2 linked regions of the Coturnix japonica genome follow. The protein of the gene in region 1 interacts with the protein of each later gene in a biochemical or structural test. Links are inferred from orthologs where the notes say so. Each region holds a gene or a part of one and is shown on either strand. Other genes may lie near its edges.

Evidence for each region.
Region 2: the proteins of TNFRSF13B (region 1) and TNFSF13B form a complex in vitro, tested with the Homo sapiens proteins (3 studies listed by BioGRID and IntAct, with this or other methods). The link is inferred for Coturnix japonica from reciprocal best matches to the Homo sapiens genes TNFRSF13B and TNFSF13B.

The regions. Positions count from the first base shown.
Region 1 is NC_029529.1:4,679,043-4,690,768, reverse strand, and holds TNFRSF13B (tumor necrosis factor receptor superfamily member 13B), read left to right. Parts: upstream 1-564; 5' UTR 565-2,438; intron 2,439-3,443; 5' UTR 3,444-3,497; coding exon 3,498-3,636; intron 3,637-4,041; coding exon 4,042-4,158; intron 4,159-4,253; coding exon 4,254-4,502; intron 4,503-5,087; coding exon 5,088-5,362; 3' UTR 5,363-6,031; downstream 6,032-11,726. Other genes in the region: USP22 (ubiquitin carboxyl-terminal hydrolase 22), read right to left, coding at 9,704-9,746, 11,122-11,271. UniProt on the Homo sapiens protein: Receptor for TNFSF13/APRIL and TNFSF13B/TALL1/BAFF/BLYS that binds both ligands with similar high affinity. Mediates calcineurin-dependent activation of NF-AT, as well as activation of NF-kappa-B and AP-1.
Region 2 is NC_029516.1:126,179,070-126,191,793, forward strand, and holds the start of TNFSF13B (tumor necrosis factor ligand superfamily member 13B), read right to left. Parts: upstream 7,346-12,724; 5' UTR 6,995-7,345; coding exon 6,668-6,994; intron 6,589-6,667; coding exon 6,483-6,588; intron 3,298-6,482; exon of another isoform or gene 2,171-3,297; intron 1-2,170. UniProt on the Homo sapiens protein: Cytokine that binds to TNFRSF13B/TACI and TNFRSF17/BCMA. TNFSF13/APRIL binds to the same 2 receptors. Together, they form a 2 ligands -2 receptors pathway involved in the stimulation of B- and T-cell function and the regulation of humoral immunity.

The sequences.
Region 1 (11,726 bases):
ATGGGTATGGGTATGGGTATGGGTATGGTATGGGTATGGGTATGGGTGTGGATATGGGTATGGGTATGGATATGGGTATGGGTATGGGTACGGGTACGGGTACGGATACGGGTATGGGTATGGTATGGGTATGGGTATGGGTATGGGTACGGGTATGGGTATCGGTATGGTATGGGTATGGGTATGGGTATGGTATGGGTATGGGGGGGGGTCTTTTTTAATGGGGGGGGGTATGGGGTAGGTAATGGGTATGGGTAGTTGGGTATGTATGGGTATGGTATGGTATGGTAATGGTATGGGTATGGGTATGGGTATGTGTATGGGTACGGGTACGGGTATGTGTATGGGTATGGCTATGGCTATGGCTATGGCTATGGCTATGGCTATGGGTACGGGTACGGGTACGGGTATGGGTATGGGTATGGTACGGGTATGGGTATGGGTACGGGTACGGGTACGGGTACGGGTATGGGTATGGTATGGGTATGGGTATGGGTATGGGTATGGGTATGGGTATGGGCTGCGGGGCTGCGGGAGCCGCAGAGCGGAACTAAGCGAATCGCGGCTGCCACCTCCCGGTGCAGCGCATCACTCCGCGCTGCCGCTCCCTCACGTCCCCCCCAGGGCTCCGGGCTGCGGGTGGCGGTGCGGAGCTGCAGGAGCTCGGCAGAAGGAGCTCGGCTGTGGGCTGTTGTGGTCCCGCAGCATCGTGTCTGCAGGGAACCGGGCTGAAAGAAAAGAGCTCGGCACCATCTGTGCGCTCTGCTCGGTTTCGATCCCAATCGTCTCCTCTTCGCCTTCTTGTCTCCCCCTTCTCCCCCCCCCCAGCCTTTTTTTGGATCTCACGGGGTGCACGTGTGCAAGAAATGCCTCGGTCAAGGTCCAGCCCTGAGTGAGCACAGGGAATGCAGGAAGCAGCAAAACTGCCCAGGAAAGCCCAGCTCTGGGTACCGCTGTTTGGCAGCACCATGTGCCACCTCAGAGGCCACAGCGCTGCTCAGAGGTACCCGAGCAGGGAACAAGGTCCCAGTCATAGCATGAGCTGAGGATTTTGAAGCTGAGCTCACAGGGCCTCCCTCTGCTCACTGAGGAGGGACAAAGCACCCCCAAGTGCTTCTCACTTCCCTCTTGAGGGCTCACAGAGTGGAAACTGCAAGAGTCCCACTGCTATTTGCAGAGGCAGGTTTCCCCCACAAATTCCCAAGAGCTGCAGAGCTGCAGCTCCATGTTGGCTCCGTCACACTCACAATGCCAACATTGCTTTTTCCTCTACCACCAGCCCTGCAGGCGGGCAGCCCGTGGAGCACCGAGCTCATGGGCTGAGCCCGTCCTGACATGAGATGCTCCCAGCAGAGCCATCCCCTGTACGTTCTCTGCCATGAGCAATGAGCTCCATCCCACCAACACCAGCCCCACCAGCTCACGGCCCCACTCACACAGGGCAGGAGTTTCTGTGCTGAACGGAAAACCCTTGTTGCTGCCCCACTGATGTTTATGGAAAGTAGCAGGTATTGCTCCTTCCTCCCCCTCCAGCTGCTTCTGCGGAACCATCCCCCGGGCTGAGCTGAGTCACCGCTGTGTGCTGCAGTGCTGGGAGAGACTGACACAAATCAACACTCCACCAATAGAAAGAGGGGGAAAGAGCGGCTGTCCAGCCTGGTTTGCTTACTCTAAAGAGACCTAATGGAGTGTGGGGATACCCCCGGGTGTGGGCATCGCTCCTCCCCGCTGTGCCATCCTTCCTGCTCCCATCGCTGCTCCTTTCCTCTGCAAAACCTGGGAAAGCAACAACACGGTGCCAGCTGGACCAGCTCAGGGTGCTCGTTTTGCTCAGCAGAAGAACTTTAGAATCACAGAACATCCCGAGTCAGAGGGGACCCATATGGATTGTGGAGTTCAACCCCTCCTCCACGCAGCACCACTCAAACCCAGACCTGACGTCTGAGGGCAGTGCCCTGATGCCTCCTGAGCTCCAGCAGTGTGGGGCTGAGCCCACTGCCATGGGAGCTGCTCTATGCCCACCAACCTCTGGCACAGAGCTCCCCCCTTTATCCCCCACCCAGCCCTCCCCTGACACATCTCTGTGCCATTCCCTTGGATGGAAGAGCTCCCATGGAGATGGGCGATGCCAGGGACACAGAGCTGCACGGCCCATGGGACCTCTCCCTGCTGCGAGCACCAAGACATCTCCATCGTGTGCCTGGTGACGGTGCCTCCCTCCCATCCCTGAGCCCCCTGCAGATCAAGGAGCCAATACACTGCGCTGTGTGAGTGGCCAATTTGCATCGAAGGGATAAGGGGAAGCCCCAGGAAACACATGGCCCAGGCATTAATCAAATCGACCTCTAATTATAAACCTGCAGAGTAGCACACGGGGCTGGAGCTGGCAGCACGATGGCAGCAGCCAGGAGACAATAAGCACTGCAGGAGAGCTGAGTGTGAGTTACTGTGTGGGGCTGCTCGGGGTACGGGGCTGCGGGGCTGGGGGCTGCATCTGCAGGGGCTGGAAGGGAGCGGAGAGCACCGTGGGGCTGTGGGGATGGTTGGTGCTGCTGGAGTGGGTACGTGATGCTGTGGATGGAGGCTGGGTGCTGGGCTTTGGGTGGGTGCAGGGGATGCATGGCCTGGCTTTGCAGGACAGCGCTCAGCTCACCTCCATCCAGCTCCTGGGGGGTAAAAAGTCCTTAAAGTGCATTAGAGGAGAGAGCAGGCCTGAGCCAGGCTGTGCTGCAGGCATTGCTGTCAGCCGGCTCCATAGAAAGCAATTAGGTTCATAGCAATGTGAATGGAACAACTGGGACTACAGGGGCTGTATCGCACTGCAGAGACACAGACCTCTCCCGGAGCATGGGGCCATTTCTGTACTGAAGTCAAACCGTGTCTCCATGAAGGCAGCAGCCCCAGCCGAGGTACTGCACGGATTTCAGCGCCACGTGTCAGTGCCTCAAACATTTCAGCTCCCCATATCCTGGGCAGCCGACCCACAGGAAACAGCTGCGGCTCCGCACTGGGATGCGGGCACCCACATCAGCAAACGGCTGCTAAGAATGAAACCCTTACAGCGACAGCATCCTTTAAATATCAGCTGTCCGGGGCTGCTCAGGGCTCCCACCAAAGCCCCCCATCAGCATCACACCCCTTTGCTCACCCCAGCCCTGAGCTCAGCCACAGAGCAGGGAACAGCAGAAGAGCTCCCACTCTCGGGGCCCCCCATGTGCTGCTGAGAGCTGCCCCGAGGGACGCAGCTCCTTCTGCTGCTTAGGAAAATGAGACACATCAGAAGCGGGTTTCGATATGATGCTGACACACCAAAGTGAGATGTCAGAAATGACACAGGGCGGTAGGAGCAGCCCCGGGGGCCGCAGAGGAATTCAGAAGGTTCTAGACTTACAAACAGATCCAGCTGCTGGTACTGATGGCGCTGCGCGTGTCCCCCTGCACAGGTCCCAGCGTTGGGCGCACCAACCCCACACACGGTTCCCTCCCCTCCCAAAGCCATGGATGGGACGTGCCTGGGAAGAGCCGCCATGAACAACTGCACCAACCAGCAGTACTGGGACAGCCTCCTCTGCCTCTGCATCCCCTGCACCCTCATGTGCAGGAGCTCGGCCGAGCGGAGGTGCAAGGCGCTGTGCGGTGAGTGGGGCACCAAAATGCAACCCCAAAGCGCAGGGAAACACAGCAGTGGGGCTGTGGCAGCAGCTGGGTGCAGTGCAGCACGGAGTTGTTCGTGTCATCATGTGTTGGAGAGCTGGGAAGAGTGGAACCCCATGAGGTTCAACAAGGGCGAGTGTGGAGCCCTGTAAGCTGGGGAGGGATAACTGCACACATTGGTACAGGTTGGGGCTGAGCTGCTGGGAAGGGCCCTGCAAAGAGCTGAGTGTCTTCGTGGCCAGCAGGGTGACCAACAGCCAACTCCAGAGCTGGAGGCACAACGCCCCCAAACTCTGCCTACAGACCCACATGTGTGACCCCATCCCTCCCCAGTGGGCCATGGATGTGCTCAGAGCGAGCTCTGCTCCTCTCCTTCCCTTCCTGCAGAGTCTGCGGTCTGTAACAGGAGAGCTGGCTTCTACTATGACGAGCTGGTGAAGAAGTGCATCAACTGCAGCACAGTGTGTGGGCAGCACCCCAAGCAATGCGATGCCGCGTGTGGAGGTAAGATGGGGGATGAGGGGTGGGAGAGGTGTGAGTTTATGTTGATGCCCTCCGCTCTGTGCCCGTCTGCCCTCTGCTCTCTGCCTGCCCTGCAGGATCTCTGCTCTCCAGTCACTCCCCACCAGCCGCCCTGGTTTCAGCATCACCTCCCGCGGCTGCACTGGAGCAGAAGGTTTGTGTGGAGCAGGAGCCGTGGCTGGTGGTGTACCTGCTGCTGGGGCTCTGCCTCTGCGCCCTCGTCTGCTCCCTGGTGCTGGGCTGGACACACTTGCGGAGGAAGGGGGAGGTGGGCTCCTGCCAGGCCAGCACCGGGACCTGCCACTGCCGGGAGGACCCTGCCAAGGGTGAGTGAAGGGGGCAATGGGAGGGATGGGCAGCGGGGGGTGGCTGTCACCTGAAAGCAGAGCCTTCCTAGGGAGGGAACAGACCCAGCAATGGGTCACACGGCCTGGGAAGGAGCAGGACCTCGAGGATGTTGTGGCATTCAGCCTTTGCTTTTAAGGGCAGCCGAGAGGTGAAAAGGGATTTACCGCCTGCTTTTCAATACCCTGCGCTCAACCTTGATTGTCAGAGCTCAGATGAACAGAGCAGAGCCCTTTGCCAGTCCATGCAGCGCTGTGTGGCCCCCGAGCCAGCAGCCCCTGTGTGTTGTACAGCACTGCTGCATCAGCACATGGCGCAACAGGAGCACTTAGGGCAAAAACAACCCACGTGTAACGTTATCAGTGTTACAGCTGCTTTAGTCCTACACCTGCAGCTCCCCTGCTCGAGGCTCCTTCCCATTTACCCCTCTGCCCTTGGGGCAGCAGGACACATGTGGGTGATGCGTTTCAAGCACAGCAGCAGCGCATGTAATTACACAGTGCATTCCAGCACTGCCTCCTTGCAGGCTGTGGTGCAGCCCTGCGCTGTGTTTCTCGTCTCTGCAGATCACCTGGTGGAAGCTGGCAGTGTCGGTGAAGGATCCACGGGCAGCAAAGCCCCAGAGCCGGTGGAAACCTGCGGCTTCTGCTTCCCCGGCCACGGCTCCGCTGTGCAGGAGAGCAAACCGTGCCACAGCCCATCCTGCCACGCAGGGGAACGAGCTGCTGCCCCTCACGCTGGGATATGCAGCATGGGCAGCGCGGGGGCGATCCCCAGTAACAACGATGGCCACTTCAAAATCATCTGCTCCCCTTCACAAGAGAAGACGCCCACGGTGTGACTGCGGGAGCTCCTGCACCGGGCTGCAAAGGAGGGCTGCTCCCCAAGCACAGCTGATCACCCTCTGCCTCCAGCACCCAGGATGGATGGGCTGAGCACAGCCTCTGCTCGAGGGCTGCAGGCACAGACTGTTCTTTTCCACTCACCCAAACTCTCCGTTAGCAGCGGCTCCATCCTCCTGCTCAACCTCTGCAGGCACCTCCGTGTGCGCTGCTGGTTGGGGCTGACATCCCACAGGGGCTCCTCATCACAGCTCCTCCATCAGCATCGCTTGGCCTCTGCAGAGGGAACTGATGCAGCTTCACACACAGGAGCAGGGGAACTGTGCTGGGCACCGGCATCACTGCTGCAATGGGGCTCTGCTGTGCAAAACCATCCCGGGCTGAGAAGCCTCTGAAACACTTTGAGTTCTGCTGTGCTGCTGACAGAGCCGGGAATGATGATGCTTGAAAGCTGCTATGGAAAAACTGGGGGTTCAGTGCGTGGAACTTTAAGTTCTCACTAATGGAGAGTGCAGGGCTTCTGCTTGGCGTGGAATCACTCCCAAGAGGAGATTCAAGGCCTTGAGTTTGTTTCTCAGACCAGAGCTCAAGACTTGAAATAATACATGGGAGTGTCATCAGATGTGTGAATTGGGGATAGGAAAATAAACTGCTGGAGGAACCACGAGCAGATGCAGTCCTTCAGATGCAGTCCTTCCCCACCCTGCCATGCATTGCTTTCCTGCTGTCCCACCACCAAGGCAGGCAGCACCGGGCTGAGCACTGCACACACACAGCACCAGGGCCATGGGGAGCCCCTCAGAGCTGTAAGGAGCAGCAGGAGGCTGGAGGTGCAGTGACATCCCGTGCTTTATCTCATGGCTGGTGAGCAGGGCAAAGCTTTGAGGCCATCTCTGGGAACCAACACGGTGCTTCTCAGTCTCCTCTTTGAGGGTGGGATGAGCTCTGTGTGGTGCTGCATTTACAGCCCCAAACCCACCTCAGCCTCCCAGCAAGCCCTGCAGCCTCTGCTCTCGCTCAGCCTCAGCTCTGCCTCTACTCTTAACCATCCTCAATTCTTCCCTGGTTACCACCTCCCCCTCCCAGTCCTTCAGCCTTTTCTGCTCAAACTGAGCCATCTGTGCCCCAGAAAACAGGCAACGCACACACCCACAGCCAGGTCCTTCCTTCCAGCCCTGATAAGCTGGAGGGGAACATTCCTCACCATCAGACGTGGCCTCCCCACCTGGAAATATAAATAGAGTTATCAGCAAAGGTAACAGGGAGAAACTTGGTCAAATCCACAGTAAGAACATACAGAGGTTCCTACACAGAGCAGTTGGATGCTGGAGAACTGGGAGAAATCAATGGATCGCCATCACATTGGCAGCATCCCTCCATGGGCACTGTGAAGTGGGGCCAGCAGTCAAACACTGGCACCAAGTGGGAATTGCAGGCACAGACTCTGAGCCAGAGCATAACGTGGGGGTTGAAGGAGCTCCTCACATCGCTGCTTTTGCTCTGGGTTTCATTAGGTACCACCAGCACGAAGAGCTGCCCCTCTAGTAGCTGAGCAATGAGAAAGCATCCCAGTATTTGAGGCAAAGGCTGTTCAGGAGAGCCATAAGGATGGGTTGTGCTGCTTGTACAGCAGCGGCTGTTCTTCCATTTTGAACACTGCTTCCCCAGCAACCTGTGCTGATTTACTGCTGGAAGCAGGAGGGCACAATGCAAGGAGGGACTGGGGGAGAGGGAAGAGCATTTAACACAGAGCTGCTATTCTGAAACCAAAACAGAGCCCTGAAACCTCTCTCACTCCACATCTCCCACTGAAAGCCACCTGTGCTGGTGCAGGGCTTTCAGCAGCTGAGAGGTGGGGGGAGAGGGGAGTGGGGGCGATGGAAACCAGGCTGATTTCAATAGCTGGCCTTGTCCCTCCCTGCGCAGTCTGGTTCTAAAGGGGAAAGGAGAGATGCCCCTTGAGCCCCAGCACAACAGACTGAGCAGCGGTGATGCACAGCCGCGCGGTGGCACTGCTCCTCCGGCAGCGGGAGCAGGCGGGGATGCGGCTGCAGCCATGGGAATAATGAAGGGCTGCTCCTCGGCTCCCTCTGCAAGATCGCTGCATTATTAAAAGGCGGCAGAAAGCGTCACCGAGCATCTGCACGGCGCTGTGCCCAGCTCAGGGAGGGAGGGAAGGAGGGAAGGAGGGTGTTGCACCATTCAATCTGCATTTCTCCAGCCATTTTTCACTGGTTACATCTTGCAGCACCCGATTACAACCCGACGTTATTTCGAGCATGACGATCGGAGAGAGCCGGGTTACGAAACCAGCACACGCCATCGCTGCCGTAGCGATCAGTGCCGCGGTGCCTCCCACGCTGATGCTGTGCTGCTATTCACGGAGCTTCAATCAGCGGCTGCTTCTCCCTTCCCTCCTGCAAGCTGCCGCAGCAGAACCGAAGCAGCTCGTGCTGTCTGTGCGCAGTTCGGATGCAGTTCCACCATCCTGTTGTGTAGCTTCTCTGCCAGATGCTCATTGATAAAACAAAGTGGGCTTCACTGATTCTCATCCGATATCCTCCAGTGCTGCTCTGCAGCCCGCCCCTTGCAGCCCTCACATGCAGGTCAGGCACCCACAGCCATTTCTGGAGCGCCAGATCTAAAAGATGAAACACATCCAACGTTTATAACCACTGCGCTTCAGTCAAGCATGGGCTGCTTGGATACACGCACAGGGCTCAGGGCTGTTTTGGTGGGGCACTTACACCAACATAAGCAGCACATAACCCTCAGAACAGTTCTGTCTGGGCTCTGTAAGGAAAAGAGAGCAATGCTGGTTTTGCTCCTTTAAACTCTGTTCAGAATGGCTTCTCTCACGGGCTGCAATTCAAACCGCAGCCCGGCCTCCAGGGAGCAAGACAGAGCACAGCAGCAGTCACTGCTGCTATCCAGGAAGGCAAACGAGCCCCGCTGAACGGGGAGAGAAAAGGGAACAAAACCGTATTTGTGACAAAGCAAAAGCTGGTGCACCAGCTGCTGTGAGCCAAGGGCACAGACTGCAAAGAGAAGAGCACGCGAGGAGTTAACACATGTGGGAGGGCACAAGGAACCAATACCAGCCTAGCAAATACCAGCAAAACGTGTTGTTTACTTAAAAACCCAGTCAGTGCACTGCAGAAGTGCTCAATAGCAGCACATCCATCGCTCACTGCTGCCCCCCAGCAGCAACCGCTTCCAACAGATGGTACATTTGTCAATAGGGAGGTTCTTTCAAGCATCACACAGATAAACGCCTTTGGAAAGCAACGGGGAGGGGGAAAAAAACCAAACCCAACAGAACCAAAAATGTATCAATCAAACCCAGCAACAAAAACAAGAGATCTGGTGAAATTCAAGCATCCACAACATTAAAAAGAACAGTATCAACACGGCAATTCAGTCATTTTTACTGATGGTTGCAGTTATGAAGTTCATTCTCATGAAAAAACAACAACAACAACAACAACAAAAAAAAAAAAGGGAATAAAAGGAAAAAAAATATTAAGAAAATAGCTATTTATAGAAAAGAAAAGAAAACAAAAAGGGCTCAACCAGGACCGGATCTGTGCTGATGCTCTGGGTGAGCAGCCCGGTGGCATTGAGCGTTACCTGTGCACGCAGGCGTGCCTGGAAACCTGTCTGTACTGCAGCTTCAGTTCCACAAGTCAGGATTTCTTTTGTTGGTGGAAGGGGGGGGGCAATAAAAGAGCCTAATAGTTTCATACTGTATTTATTTAATAACTAAAATTCACAAATAAAAAGATACTCGCCAAGTCCTTTAGTTGTGTCATTCCCTCCTCCTCCACTCTACTGCTTTCAGATCCAGATGCATAAAAAAATGGGCTTGGATTTTATTTTATTTTTTTTTAATTTTTTTTTTTTTTTTTTAAATTTTAACTGTTATATGATTGGTCGTTGGAGCTGAAGCACCAATGGAGAAGATGCTTTATGGAGATGAGAATACACCCCCTTGCCTTCCCACACACGTTTTGGAGGAACATAGGAGATGTACCAGTGCCCGGACTCCTCTGCTCCCATTTCCCCCACCCAGAGCATTCCTTTCATTGTGTATTTCCTCTGATAAGTGACTGACTGCAGCCTCCTTTTTTCCCCTTTCTGTCCTTGCGGGACCGCATACACGTTGGACATTGTTCATTTCTCACTCTGCCAGGCTTGGAGCCAGTGTCAAGTAGGTCCTGTTACAGCTCAGTGCTAGTTGTTTTTTAATGGGTCTTTTTATTTCAGGTAGGTTTGTGTGTCGATTCAGAAGGCTTGCTTATTTTCTTCCTTGTTTATATCTGACAAGCTGCTGGATAAGGCTATTCATACTCCAGGAACTGTTTGTGATAGAACAGCAAATATCTGCAAGAAAGCAGAGGTACAGTTTCAGCTTTGAGCTACAAATCATAGCAGATCACCATTTCCATGGATGCAACTGTTAAAAATGAGAGCTATTCATGTTATTCTTTTCAAATCGAAGCAATTCCAGGGATATGCCAACTCCCCACAGGAGGAGGAGGGAAGGCAGCTGAGACAATCCCACCAGGGACTCAGGAAAGGGAACATTTGTCCATCAGTCAGACCCTCGTGCTGTGCACCTACTTAGAACCTAGAAGCTCTGGAAGATGGGACAGTGTTGATGCTCACCCATCTAACACATCACAGCACAACATATAACCGAGATGCTTCATGATACAATTGTTCCTTTAGAATCCCATAACCAGAGCATCAGACATTAGAATACCACAAACCGTCTGCCGTTTATCTGACAAACAGAAAGAGCCAGGCATGTGGGTGAAAACTCACGTGTCCCAACCAAACATGACTCACGTATGTCTCAATCTGTACTCAAATCTGGTGTTTTAGCAGGACAGAATTCTTCCTGTCCTTAATTACTGTACATGTACTGCTACAGAACAGAATCCAGCCCTCGGGCAGGCATGCTAGCAGGCAGCACACTGATCTCTGTGCTCATTTTGTACAACAGACACTGATGGGCTCACCACAAAACTCAGTTGAAATGCTTCAAAGCAATTTGTGGACTTTCCAATTAATACTGTTCTGTGTCCAGTCCCATGAAGCTTCCCTTGCACAGTGCAGGCCTACTCAGTATCAGCGCTCATCTAGACCAAGGAAAACGGATCAGAGACCAAACCAGCTCACAATGAGCCAGATGTGCAGTGGTTGTGTTGTAGATCCTGTTCTCACTGCTTATGGCAGCTCTCTCCAGAGTCATAGCCCATCCCAGCACAAAACTAGCCCCTCGTTATTCAATAAAGACAAACTTTCTTCTGCTGACCTCAAAGTGTAAGTCAGCATTAAATAATTTGACCAAAGCAAAATTCGGATATCACTGGAGCCTTTTTTTTTTTTTTTCTTCCCAGCTGAAGTTCAGAAAAGGAAAATAGGAAAATCTGCCTAAAAAATTGCAAGCTGAACATCTGTGCCTGCAGGAATTAACATAAACGTCATGAATAATTAAAACAAAACCTAAAGAGGCTCATCTTTCCTGTAGCAAACCCATGGTTGAAAATGCCAAAATAAAGACTTCACTTTCTAAGTTAACCTTATTTTTGAGATACACCCCAGTCCCCAGTGATTCCCTCTGATCATCAAATCACAGAATATCCCGAGTTGGAAGGGACCCATAAGGATCGAGACCAATTCCTTTGGGCTCTCTGATAGTTTTATGTTCTTCTTACGCTGCGGCACCTCACACTGCACACAGTTCACTTACCCTTCACTGTCTAGTACATCCTTAATGCTAGCCTTGGTGATAATGGCATCATCACACTTGAACCACTGGTCCTTGTGCTGCCGGATGAAGCTGGTATAGTGCCCACTCTCCAAGGTTCCCTGGTGATTAACTACTGCAAACAAGGAATACCTGGAACAGAGAAGAGTCAATCAATACGCGGATCAAAAGGGCAAAAATAACTGACATTTTAAAGAGGCAAAAGCTCATGTTCATAAATACAAACTGAAACAGTAAAGGATAGGATCCATCAATAAAACACCAGCTCTTAATGTTAACTGGGAAGAGGCCAACCCTGCCCAGGGAAAGGGAACGTGTTTCTCCCTGCTCCTACTGCAGTATTCCCTCCTGATGACAGCCATCAGCTTCACCAATATAAGCTACTGAAGATTTTTCTTCTAAAATACATGGAAGTTGATGCATCCCCGCAGAGGATCGCTATCTTAGTTACCTTCTACTTTCCTCTTCTGAACTAGTTAACTCAAGAGAGCCAGAAAAAACACTCCAGGGGAAAGAGAGGAGGTAGTCTGCAGCATATCCAGTGATAAACTGCTATACTGATTCATTATCCTTAATTTGGAAAGTCT
Region 2 (12,724 bases), on another chromosome or scaffold:
ATCAGATTCAGACACTCTTACTATAAAGAGCAGTGCCCTAATCCATTAGATCACATTTCTACATCTGTCAGTGGCACCTCTGTGCCAAACCATGTGCCCATCAGCACCCACCTCTCACTGCACTGCATGGAATGACCAGACTGGAGAAGAAAGCAGCCTCCTGTGTATACCTAAGTCTCCTTTCAAGGATGCTGTCAGCAAATACCAGAGGAGGGCTAGGTGCTGAACAGCACAGCATTGGCACCATCAGACAGTGGGATTCAAGTGTGGAAATGCTTCAAAGTCTCAAGAACCAAAGAACTCTTGACTGAGCCCTACTGTCATTAACAGGAGGACTATCCTGCAAACTCCCATCCTGGAAATCAGTCAGTGCTTTGTATAAGATGCCAAAAAACTCTGTGGATTTTCAAAACAGTAATTTAAAGGTACCTACATTTACAGAAGCATAGAATTGCCTGGGTTGAAAAGGATCATAATGATCAACTAGTTTCAACCCCCCTGCTGTGGGCAGGATTGCCAACCACCAGACCAGGCTGCCCAGAGCCACATCCAGCCTGGCCTTGAATGCCTCCAGGGATTCCCTGCCTTTTAACAAGAAAAAGAAACTAAGTCAACAACAACAACAACAACAAAAAGACTTCATTAATTTTTTTAGATCTCAGTTGTGACAAAATGTTCTGAAAGAGAAGCTTCCAAACAAAAACAAAATACGATCTTCTGGAATTGCACAACAAAGCACATCAAGCAATTTATTTCACAAGGTATTCATTTACTCCCCCTTGGAACAAAGTGCCTTCCTAATAAAGCTAATGTGCAGGTTCCCTACTATTTCAGCAATCCAGATCAAAATTTTCATTTCTGTTTTCAAGGGAACTCATCAGTGCTGCCACTGGAATTTCCAATAATCAAACAAGAGAGTAAATAAGATTCGTAATCTTGATTTGTGTTTATTTAATTGCAGCACTGAGATACTTGTCATCTTTCCTGAAAACTGCCATGCAGTAATTGAAACCAGCAAGTTCCGTGCAGAGTGAGAACTTACTCATATATTTTAAAACACTTAAAAGTTATTCTGCACAGATCTGATGGTCTTCTCTGGTGACAGTGACAGGGCCTGAGGGAACCTCATGGAGCTGGGAGGGGCAGCTGGGGGTCAGGGAATGGGTCTCCAACAGAGGGTGGTGGGCATGGAATGGGCTGCACAGGGCTGTGGGCATGGCCCTGAGTGCTGGAGTTCAAGGGGCATTTGAACAGTGCCCTCAGATGCTGGGTTTGAATGTTGAGTGCTCCTGTGTGGAGCTGGGAGTCTATGATCTTTGTGTCTCTCCTTCTGCTCAGGATATTCTATGGCATCAAATCTACATATAATCCCCCAGCAAAAAAAGCATCTTTTCAGTTAGTATATACAGAATCCACAGTCTTCAAGGTTCAACAGAATAAAGTAAATTTAGCTGTCAGGAAGAAATATGGGTATGGAAATGTCATTTGTGATAATAAAGAAAACAGAAACCAGCACAGTGATCATTTTATCTATAGCCACAGAAAGGAAGTGTAATTTCCTTGAAACTATATTGAACAGCAACATGCTTTGTAAACAATCGCTTATAAGCCACTACTAACATATAACTATTTCCAATCACAGATACAAATACTTCACTTTGAACTCAGTGGTTACATGTGCTTAAAGTTAAATGATTCATTGAAACAAATTCAAAGCAAACCCATTTACCACTTATTAAACAGAAAACATGGATATACCAAGTTTATTTTCTGGTGAAAGCAAATAGGAATTTTGAGTCAAAATACTGATGTTGTTAAGAAATGTTAAAATGTGAAAGACACAGATCTTACCTGAAGTACAATATAAAAAATACATATTTCACCAAATATGACTTGAATATTTACTATCACTTCAGAGCTGAGTAAATGAAAAGCTTGACCTCAAAGTCCTTCAGTTCAGTGTAGATCAAACCTGAACACAAGTTTTGTAGTCTAAAGTATTTGGGGACACTGAATAATGTAAGCAGAAACATAATTAGTAAAATGCTTCTTAAAAATGCATAAAGATATCTAAAATGAGCATCACTTGGAGGACTCACTGTACAAAACAACATGTACCTAGAATAGCAGGAGGTCGGCGTGCCCTGACCTCTTTTGATTTCAGACAGAAGTTTTGCTTTGATGAGAATTCTTTTCTTGTGATGTAAACTGTACTGCGGTGTGTGGGTGGGAGTAAAACATTTCAGAATCTTCTTCCATGAACAAAACGACCAATTCTGAAGAAGTTAATGCCTCCAGATGCCCTTATGAACCACACCTAGCATATGAAGGGCTGTGTTCTCCACCATCTGAGCAATGTAACCACAGCTCTGGAAAAAACAAAAATGAACTAGCATATGTAGAAGGATAAAAAACTGAGCTTTCTGCATATCTACATAATTTAAGACATGATTATCCATAAGGACAAATCCTTCCTGCCATGTAAGTTTTTGAATCATTTAACTTCCATAACCTTTTTAATACCTTGCAATCTAACTTCATAATCCATCCAAAGAAAATGGCAAGTTGGTTAATATGCAAACTTGCACATAAATTTTTAAGCTTCAGTATCTGAGGCCTGATAATTCAAATAAATAAATAAATAATCTGAACTTTAAAAATAGACCTGCTTGCTTTGGTTCCTTCAATGGTCATGGTCTGTTCTCTGTAGACTTCCTGAAACCTGCTTGAATACTAGATAATTTAATTTATAAATGATATGCATGTTCTTGGATGATGTGCAGCTTTTCTTCCCTTAAGTTATTTATTTCTTATAATTAGATATCTTCCTTTTCTTTTTGCTTGTGCAGGTTTATAGACTAGTTTCTTTGTTACTTTTTTATTAATAAGTCTTTTTGTGTCATTAAACATGGATTCAGTTAATCCCTGCATAAAAATTGCTTGGCCCCAGTAACAGGTCTAACAAAGGTCTTTGAAGTATTGGTATCATTATTTTGATCTTCAGTGGAATCACCAGTAATGTGTTAGTATCAGTGTAGTACGGAATAATTTACTAACATTTAAGAACAGTTTATGTAGATTTCTGAAATGCAGTACAAAGTATTCTGTGTGCTTTAGATTGCACAGTAGTCTGCATAATACATAGCACTGATTCATTCATTCAGGAGATGGAATCCTTCAAGTAAAACTGCAAGCAGTGAGTGAAGTCATTTTCTATCCTTTCACAGTGAAGGGCGTACTTCTGTTAGAGACGGCCTGTTGTCAGCAGAAACTAAAGGGAATAACATCTTTCAAGAAGTAAGCTTTTAAAAATATGCATATTAAAAAATGAAAAGAGAACCCTTGTGTTTCCCTCTTCAAACAGCAAAATAAGAAGTAATTTGAGTATTTGGTGAGGGAATTTCACGCAGTGTTTGTTTGTTTTTGTTTTTTTTTTGAAACTAGCAAAAAAATGTTTGCTTTTCTGACTGAAAGATCTCTGAAATCAAGTTCCACTTGTAAAAGTTCATGCCATCCCTCTGTCATGGAGACCTGTCATGTCACTGGAGGCCTTCAAGGCCAGGTCAGATGGAGCCCTGGGCAGACTGGTGGGAGATGTCCCTGCCAAAGGAGGGGGGTTGGAATTGGGTGGGCTTTCAGGTCTTTTCCAACCTAAATCATTCTGTGATTCCATGATTCTATAAAACAACAACACAGAGTCAAACTGGTTCTAAGTAGAAAATGTACCACTCTGTGGATGGAAATATACCAGTTTGACATAAGGCAATTGTACCAAGAACAGTGGCAAAGATGATGCCTTCTCACAACTTATACTCTATAGTCGTTTTGTGTGAATGCAACTGACATGGCAGAAGAACTTGAGAACTGCTAGTGAAAAATTACCGAGTCACAATGCGGGCTTGTCCTGTTTCATTACTTTGTGGACTTTGGATTTCTCTTCAGTTCCTTCCGTATACACAGTCATACAGTTTGAAATGGATAACCTCAATATCCTGAAGGAAGCAACCACAGGTGCCCTGATCTGATCAAATTAGGATTTTAAGTTTTCAGAAGACCTGGTGCTTACTGTCCTAGCTGACCACAGGAATCAGAACACGCAGTAATGATCAGAGCTAGACACCTAGAGGGTGTGCAAATTAAACTCTGTACTCTGAACTGCCTTGTGTAATGAGACCTCTATCTTGATCCTGGACAGAAGAACTTAAACTTCTCAGAGAGCAGCATGCTGGCAATACAATCAGTAATTGTGACAAGGATAACAGGATGGATTTCTGTTTCAGCTTTCCTCTACAGGCAAAATTTAGTAAAAGACAGGCAAAAAAGTATCTCTGTTCCTAACTGTCCTGATATGACATCTGCTAGAAGTGGTTAGGTGATCTATCTGTCTGCACATTAATAAAACTCCCCAGTACCTCCCACTCGTTGTATCAAAAACTCTTGTTCTGGCTGCTAATTATGTAGCTTTATTTGGAACTAATGCTCAAAACCCATTTCTTCAACATATTTGTGCTGGAAATTTTCTCAGAACACAAAATGTACAGATACTGATAGCTATAACTTTTATATATGAACACCGGCTAACATCTATCCTATAAAAATATGAAAGAACAGCACTGCACTGGACCTACTTTTGTTCAATTGTCATTTTAATTAAAATTATTACTTATGGCCACTGCTATGTAAGTGGAAGATTTGTAATATAATTCTTTTCCTTTTGTTTGTATACAAAGTAAGATAAGTGGATAATTGTGTTAGGAAACAGTTTTGTAGATCAGCCTATACAGGTTTTCCCTTTCAAATAAACATTCATATTCTGTGCTGTTATCCGTATACACTAATTTGAAAGCATAATTAGAAGTTCAGGTGAAGAAAGATATATGGATATATTCAGAGGTGGCTGCCTGGGGAGAAGCATTTTAAGCCTGCCAGGAGGACAGCTGAAGAGCCCAATACTGTCCTCTCCCCCGTGCGCTCTCAAATACAGTAAAAATAAAGATGAAAGCTACTGTGAAGGGAACTGAATAAGTTGCAGAGTGCTGATGTCTGTAATGTTCATTTAGAAGAAGATAGTCATCCTTATGTTTGGTGGGAGTTGTGATTTAGGTATAAAAGATCACTTGTTTTTATCTGGGAGACATTAGAATGGGGGGGAGAACAGAGGGAAGCTCTGCTACTACTACAATAAACAAGCTTCAGGTGAAATGACTGAAGTAGTCTTGTCTTCAGTCTCATTTGTGAAATCACTGTTAACCAAGACCCTGAACGAATGATTTCTAACAGAAAAGAATAAATTGCACTTAAGCCTATGGATTGCACTTAAGCCCATTGGGTCACATCCTAAATGAATATTCTCTTCTGAGATGTAAATAGAGTGATCGTGCTATAGAACTTAAATTTCAGTTAGCTCTCTGAATCCTAGCTGAAATGCATTTCACATTAATTAATCAAAGATACATTTTAAGCAAACTCTGATTTAGTCTTTAGCTACAAATCATTTCATTTTACCTTAATGGTAATTCAAGATATCAGCTTCCATCGGTCAAAAAAGTATCTAAGGAGACTGAACTGATTTATCAACTCAGGAAGATTTTTACCAATGCTCAGTGTAATCAGAGTATGCAAACTGTTATGTTTAAATTCAGTATCTCATTTTATCATATATCAGTGTATTTGGAAAGGCAAAAAAACACACCACAAACAAAAAAAGTAGGAATTGTATTCCTGAAGAAGATAATCGTATCCCATTAAACATATCAACATTATAACACACGTCAGAGGTGCTCTATCGAGCACACTATTCGATATTTGATACAGTACCTTTTAAACTTGCCACAGCAATAGCCTTTTTGCATAGGCATGCCTTTCTTAGCTTTGCTAATTATATTAATAGATGGTTTTATGCAAAGAAAATTCTAATCTTCTGAATTCTTTGTAGCCTGCCTTTTCAGACAGGTATAAGCTAGCCTTTCTCTTTGAAAGCTCCTACTTCCCTAAAGTCAAGGAGCTCTGTTGCTACTTCTCTCTTTTAGGATGAATATGTTTTCCCAGAAAAATGACTTGACAATTTTTAATAATAGCTTTCCTTTTTTAATATTCACCAGAGAGAAACAAGATAAGCATTACCCTGAGCTGAGAATGATGGATTTAGAGTCAAGCAACTTCCAACATGAAAAAACTCAAGTTGCCATACACAACTCTACTGCTGATCACTGAGAAATACTTTAGTCACAAGGACAGGGAACCAATGTTCAATTCAACCTGCAGACAGCAGGAATATCTGGTACCTTAAGCAGTATGGTAATCAGCAAAGCAAATGCAGTTCACAGCATCATTTAATACTTACTACTTATAATTCTATAATTATAATAAGCTTTGGGAGCAGTACTCAGCTTACAAGAAGAGACAGGAGCTAAGCATTGTTGCTTGTCTCCAGAAAGCAACCAGCAGCAGCATCCCATCCCACTCCGCACAGTGCTATTTACCTGTTTCTTCTGTGTGGACAACAGACCTTCTCCCCCTATTTCTGCTCCCGTCCCAGATTTCCTTTTGGAAACTTTCAGCTGGGTAAGGGCCAGGCAGCCTGTTCTCCTAGCAGGGACAGACAGCAGTCAGTGTGAGCAGCCCATCTCCTGCAGGTTCATCCCCTGCAGCCATCAAGCACGCTTACCTGCCTGGCGCCAGCTGCAGACACTTGCAGGAAGGAAGAAACAGGGGCACCTGCTTTCTTGTCGCCAGGGGACACGGGTGGCTGCTCTAGCGGAGACCTTGCCCGGACCCTGTAGATCAGCTCACTGCGCAGAGCTTCTAGCTCTGTTTTCAGGGTGATAGCGTGGTAAAGAGACACTGCTGCAAGACAAGAGGACAGGAGCATTGCAAGCCACAGGAATGTGACAGAAAAAAGTCCCGTGGTGCCTGAAGCAGCACCGGGGGGGCCAGAGGGAGAGGAGGCGGTATCCTTCTGCTGGATGACGTGCACACAGTCCACGGATTTCATCGCTGCTCTTTCCTCACTAAAGCCAGAGGGAGAGTTCAGCTGTCCCCTTCCGAGGTGCAATCCATGTTACCCGTTGCTCTGTGAAACTAAGGGCATCCAGAATAAGTGAACAAAACGCCCAGATCATTTCCTGTCATATGAAGCCGTTGATACAACCATTAAACCTAATGTACAGAGTGAACATCTGATGCAGTCTCCGTTTAGCTTTGTCCTTTCTGCGCTGCATTCTGGCAATGAGTACTTTCTGTTGAGCTGCTTGTTCAGTCTGCCTTTCTCCTTTCATTTTCAGCTATTTATTTTTGTGGCAACTTGCTTTCACCATTTCCCATTATCTTTAAATTTAGGCATGACCAGTACCATGGGTATTTAAAACCTTATCTAGAAGTGCAGAAACAACATAAGGTTTCCTTGCAACATAAATCTGAGCTCTGCTTAAAAGAGACAAGCATATGACATTATGTGTGCCTGTAAGAATATGTATACATGTATGTAATATGATATATATATATATGTAAACATATCTGAAGTGACTGTACGCCTGCAGAAGTGGCAGCTTATTGAAATACCAATTTTTGTGTTTTCCTAAATACGATGGTGAGAAATATTCTCACGTATGAATAAAAAATGACTGGTCTCTCAAACTTGTGAAGTGGCAGAGTCTGCAGTTCGGTTCCTAGTGCACTTGGAAGGGATGACTTATAATCAAACTTATCAGATAAATGAGACCCCACTGGAGAATTCAAGGACCTAAAGAGCGAGGGAGAAGAGACCTAAAAGGGAAGGGAAAATGAGAAAACTAGAAAGTAGGAAGGAATAAGAGAGGGGAAAGAAGAATCAGGTCTAAAATGAACAGGTCACCCCCCACTGAAAACTACCATTTTTGGCCACATAAGTAAACTTTAACTGCATGAGAGAGAGTTTCTAAAGGTCTGTTCAAATACTGTGCAAGTGAGTTACATCTTCTGATGCTACCTGTTAGAACAGTCCAGATCAAGCTGATACTGTTGGGAAGGAGAAAGAAGGAGCAGAAATAAAGCAAAAAAAAAAAAAATTGTGTAGTCTCTCCTACATCTGTTTCTTAAGACTGTGGGAAACTGGTGTCATTAAAAGCTTTATCAACTCCCATTGCAATCCAAGTTACTCTTTTCCTTGCTTTGCCACCTCTAACAGTTATTCAATATCCTGCATGGACAAGTCATTATTTTCCTAAAAGGAGAGGAAAAAAGAAATGCATACAACATATCTTAACATGCCTCTAAAAGGTGCCTACATACCTTGAAAAGTGATACAGAAATAGGTATACAGTGGACTGAGAGCAGAATACCATAATACACCCTGTCTGTATCTGTTTTCAAGGCTGAGGTATAAATGGGACTACATTTTGAAGGAAATTTAATAGGTATTAAGGTAGGTTTTGGGCACATAATATGTGGTTAATAGAACTGAACAGATGTGCCTTGAGGTATCACTGGACATCAGAATGTTACCATTCTATTACTGTGTTCCAAATATAATATGACAGCCAGAAAAAGCACACTATATAAGAAAATGAAACAAAGTGAGAAGATGAAAGTCACAACTTGTTGTCCAGGAATACTGGGGAAAAAGTGGCTAGTGAGGTCTCTTTGGTCATTAACATACAAGAAAATATCTGATAGATATAATTAGCATCAGTCTCGTTACTTGTACAGAAAATAAGGCTGTTTCCAACTCCCACATCTTTAAAGGGGTTCACTATTTGGGCTGACAAGAGAATTGCAGTGACAAAGAGGTCTTCTGTAAGACGTCTGGCTCTGGCTTGCTCATTGTTCTGGCAGATGAGAGCTTCAAAGGGGAGAGGAAGAAAATCAGAACAAGCCACACTTGGCAAATTCTTAATTCAACAGGTGTTTCTATTCAAGTGTCAAAGGGGTCAGTCTGGTTTTGACAGCGGGCTGTTCCACAGTTTCACAAGCTTTTAAGTGATTAAAAGGAAAATACAATTGTTGATGAATTTTGCAGTGCCAGAAACGTAGAAGAACAATAAATAATGACAGCGAGAGATCAGTCATGGGGGAAAAAGAAGTACAAACTACCTATATATTTACGTAGTTGTACAACTTAACATCTTATCGCAGTAAAGCAAAGCTTCAGTATTTTAGACCTTGAAAGACATCAAAACAACATCTCAGAAAGCTGGGTTTAGAAAACAAACAAGCATGCTGGCTTCAGGGCCTAGCACATGGATTTCAGGGGCAGGTGGTGCCTTGGTTCTGTTAAGCTTACTGGCTTTGCTTTAAGGCAAGTATGAGGCACAGTTTCTTTAGCTCCTTAAGTCACGGTAATACTAAAGCGGGGTGCTCAGGTTAGGACTTCCCACTACGAGATGTGAGAGCTCAAGTTAAACTAAGGAGGGGAAAAAAACAGCATTAAAAAACCCCAAAACATTACCACTGAAGGGGATCTTCTTGCTGGGGGATCTTTGCTGGGTGGGATCTTTAACAAAATGAAGACTGGTTAGACTTCTGAGATATTACAGCTGAAACAAGCTCTGTAATTTCTGCAAGCAGCTTGATTCGTTCTTTTCCGTTACACGGGATATCTGATTAAAAGGTCAAGATGGGCCCTGCTAACCTGAAAATGTGTAAAACATCATCTCTACATCTGTGGGGAACCAAAGCAGAGATAGCGAGCAATCACACAGGAAATTTGTGGTTGAACCAGAAACTGAACCCTTGATTTCCTGAAATCCAGCACTGTACTTTAACCACAAAAAGCATCTTCTGCTTTGAGGGGGAGGAAAATCTGATAATGAAGTTTAATGTTAAAAAGAGAAGCAGATGGTTTGAATAAGAAGACCTGGATTGAAGAAAAAAGAAAAAAAGAAAAGAAAAAACGTCATTGAAGAAATGTAATTTACTTAAAAACAAATGCTCTGTTTTTAAGAGGGAGGTTGTACAGATACAACATAGAGACCCAGCCAATATCAACAATCATATTAAGAGTACATTTCCAGTGGCGAAGGTCCAATATACTTCTGAAATAGACACAAAATGGAACTGGTCCCTGTGGCTAGCGCAAAAAGAGACCAGCTGCGGTACTTGCCATATTACGGAAGACAGCACTGAGCATACAGAGCACAGAATAAGCAAAGCTTATGCGTTTCAAGTCCTTTCTAATGATGGAGAAAAAGGTCAAACTATTGTGGAGAAGGTTAGAATTAATCCTGTAGGATGGCTACAGTTATCTGCATTAAGATCATCCATAGAGAGCAGTCTGAAACAGAACACGTTCTTTTCAAGGACACTTACTAAGTTCCTTCAGCTATTAGCCAGGATTTACATGTGGCTGAGTATTTACACTCTATTAAAGTTTAGAAAACTACTGAATACATTACAAGTAGAGGATGTGGTATGCAAACATTTTAAATCTTATCTATTAACTGGTTACAAGAAAAAAAAAAAAAAACCACAACCATGAGATAACTTACTGAAATAAGAATATTCTTTTGTCTTTGCCTCCTAGGACAATACAAGTATCTCCATACATTTCAAATGTGCCGTACTTGATTTATGCCTCATCTAAGACTATTTTTCTACACATCCATACAATTTTGATCCAAATCTGGCACATACACTACAGAAAGCAAATATACAACTGATTTGCAACCATCGTTACTGTTTACATGGTTATTACAGTGATTTCAAAGAGGGTAGGAAATGTCACAGGAAAGAAAAGCAATTCTTATAGGTGTCTCTCAAAGTATGCAACAGAACAAATAATACAATCAAATCAAATATATAATTTCAAAAGCAAAACCAACCAACCACACACAATTACATACTACAGCAACTTAACTCCTCCTCACCCACTCCCCCCCTGACGCTATAGTAATTCTTTCTTACTGCACGGAGCAAAAGGAGCTCTGTTGTACAGCTGTAGCTCACTTGTCTCGTAGCCTCACTGGTTTGGGTAACCAGCAGCACAGGAATCTATCTCCACCTCTTTGACACTATGCAACTTGACAGATTTTACACAGATGGGATAAAAAAAAATGCATCTGTATGGCAGCAAAGTAAACAAAGAACCATGGCCCTTCACATGGGAATGGCTGCTCTTCTGCTGATGGAGTCTGTGGACCTTTAATAGAGGACATGGGATGGGAATCCAAATATTTTCAAATTGTAGTGATATTTCTCCATAGCTGCATCTATTTGCTACACTGTTCCTGAATCCTCAAGGACTGAAAGGGACATTATTCAACCTGACCTTTTACTTTGCCTTCTTGTAAATAATTACCCCACACCAGACGTAAGCATAATGCAGAACAGCTGTAGAACTTCCTTTCTTTCCATCTTCATGCAGCAAAATCTGCTTCATAGCTGCTTGTCAAAGCTAGCAGCAACATCTCTCTGGAACTTGGGCTACGAATGCAGTTACTGTGCCTTTGCAGCACAGCATTATTCAGCTCATCACTTAAGATGGATATATTTGACACTATTATGAGTGAAACCAAGCTCTGTAATGCATTAAAAACAAGACCGCTCTTACTCTGTGTAATTTTCAGAGAAAGGAAAACTGCCATTCTTCAAGACAGAGAAGAGTTATTCTGTCCCCACTCAAGTGGAACCATAACAAATGAATCACACTAATGTTTTCAGCACACTTCCAGAAAATATTCAGTTTATTTTTTTATCTACTTACAGAAAGAGAACTCTATAAAGTCTAAAACTAAGACCCTGAAAAGGACCCAACACGGGACTTAATGCTCAGGCACTTTCATGACCTTAGGAGCCAATGGTTCAGTATTTAGATTTAAAATTGACATTTAAAATATTAACAGAAATTAGTGGTAAAATCAGCCAGAAACACAATGAAAAAATAATTTCCGGGTGACATGTTCAGACCAACTCTCAGTTCTAAAGATAAAAAGAGAAGTCCTAAGAGGCAGGAGGTGATAGAAAGCCATGGAGGGATACCACCAGTTTTTCTTACTGATGCTTTGTGAAAGCAAGAATGTGACAAAGATTAGAAACAGAGAGTTAATTTAGCTTACCCCCCCCCCCCACCCCCCCCCAAGCTGTAATAACTTGCCATAAATACCATCCCCAACAACATAGATGACAATTTCATGTGCTCTGGTTTGTTTTGTTGGTAACTGAAAATGATACCCTGACCAGGCATACAAAATTACCCTGTACTCATACTGAAGACAGGTCACAAACCAGAACAAAATGTCAACAGCACTTTTAATGTATCAATTTATTGCATATGTCAGTACATAAAAATAGAAAAGTGGTTTTTGTAAAATTAATTTTATTGTAAAAACCAGACTAGAATGAGAATGTAAAACTCTGCCACAATTAGCACATATACAATAACATTTATGCTTCGTCTACAAAACTTAAGACTTTAATAAGACATTTTTCCATTAACTATACACTAAAGAAAAATCAAATAGAGAGCTTGAATCATTTATTCAATAACTATTCCTGAATTCAAAACATGAGTGTCATTTAGAGCTTGAATATGCTTTCTCTATCTACACTTCTGCAGGATTCTACTCTAAATTATACAAGCGGGATGGCATCGTAAATTATTCTCAGTGGGACACACCAGGCTGGTCCCACCAGTGCAGGAGGCACTGCTTTTGTATTTGGCAGATGTACCCTTAGGAAAACCATTTGTTGTTAACAAAATAAAAATACACTTCTCAAGAATTAAATTATGGAATACAAATGGAGGTATGTC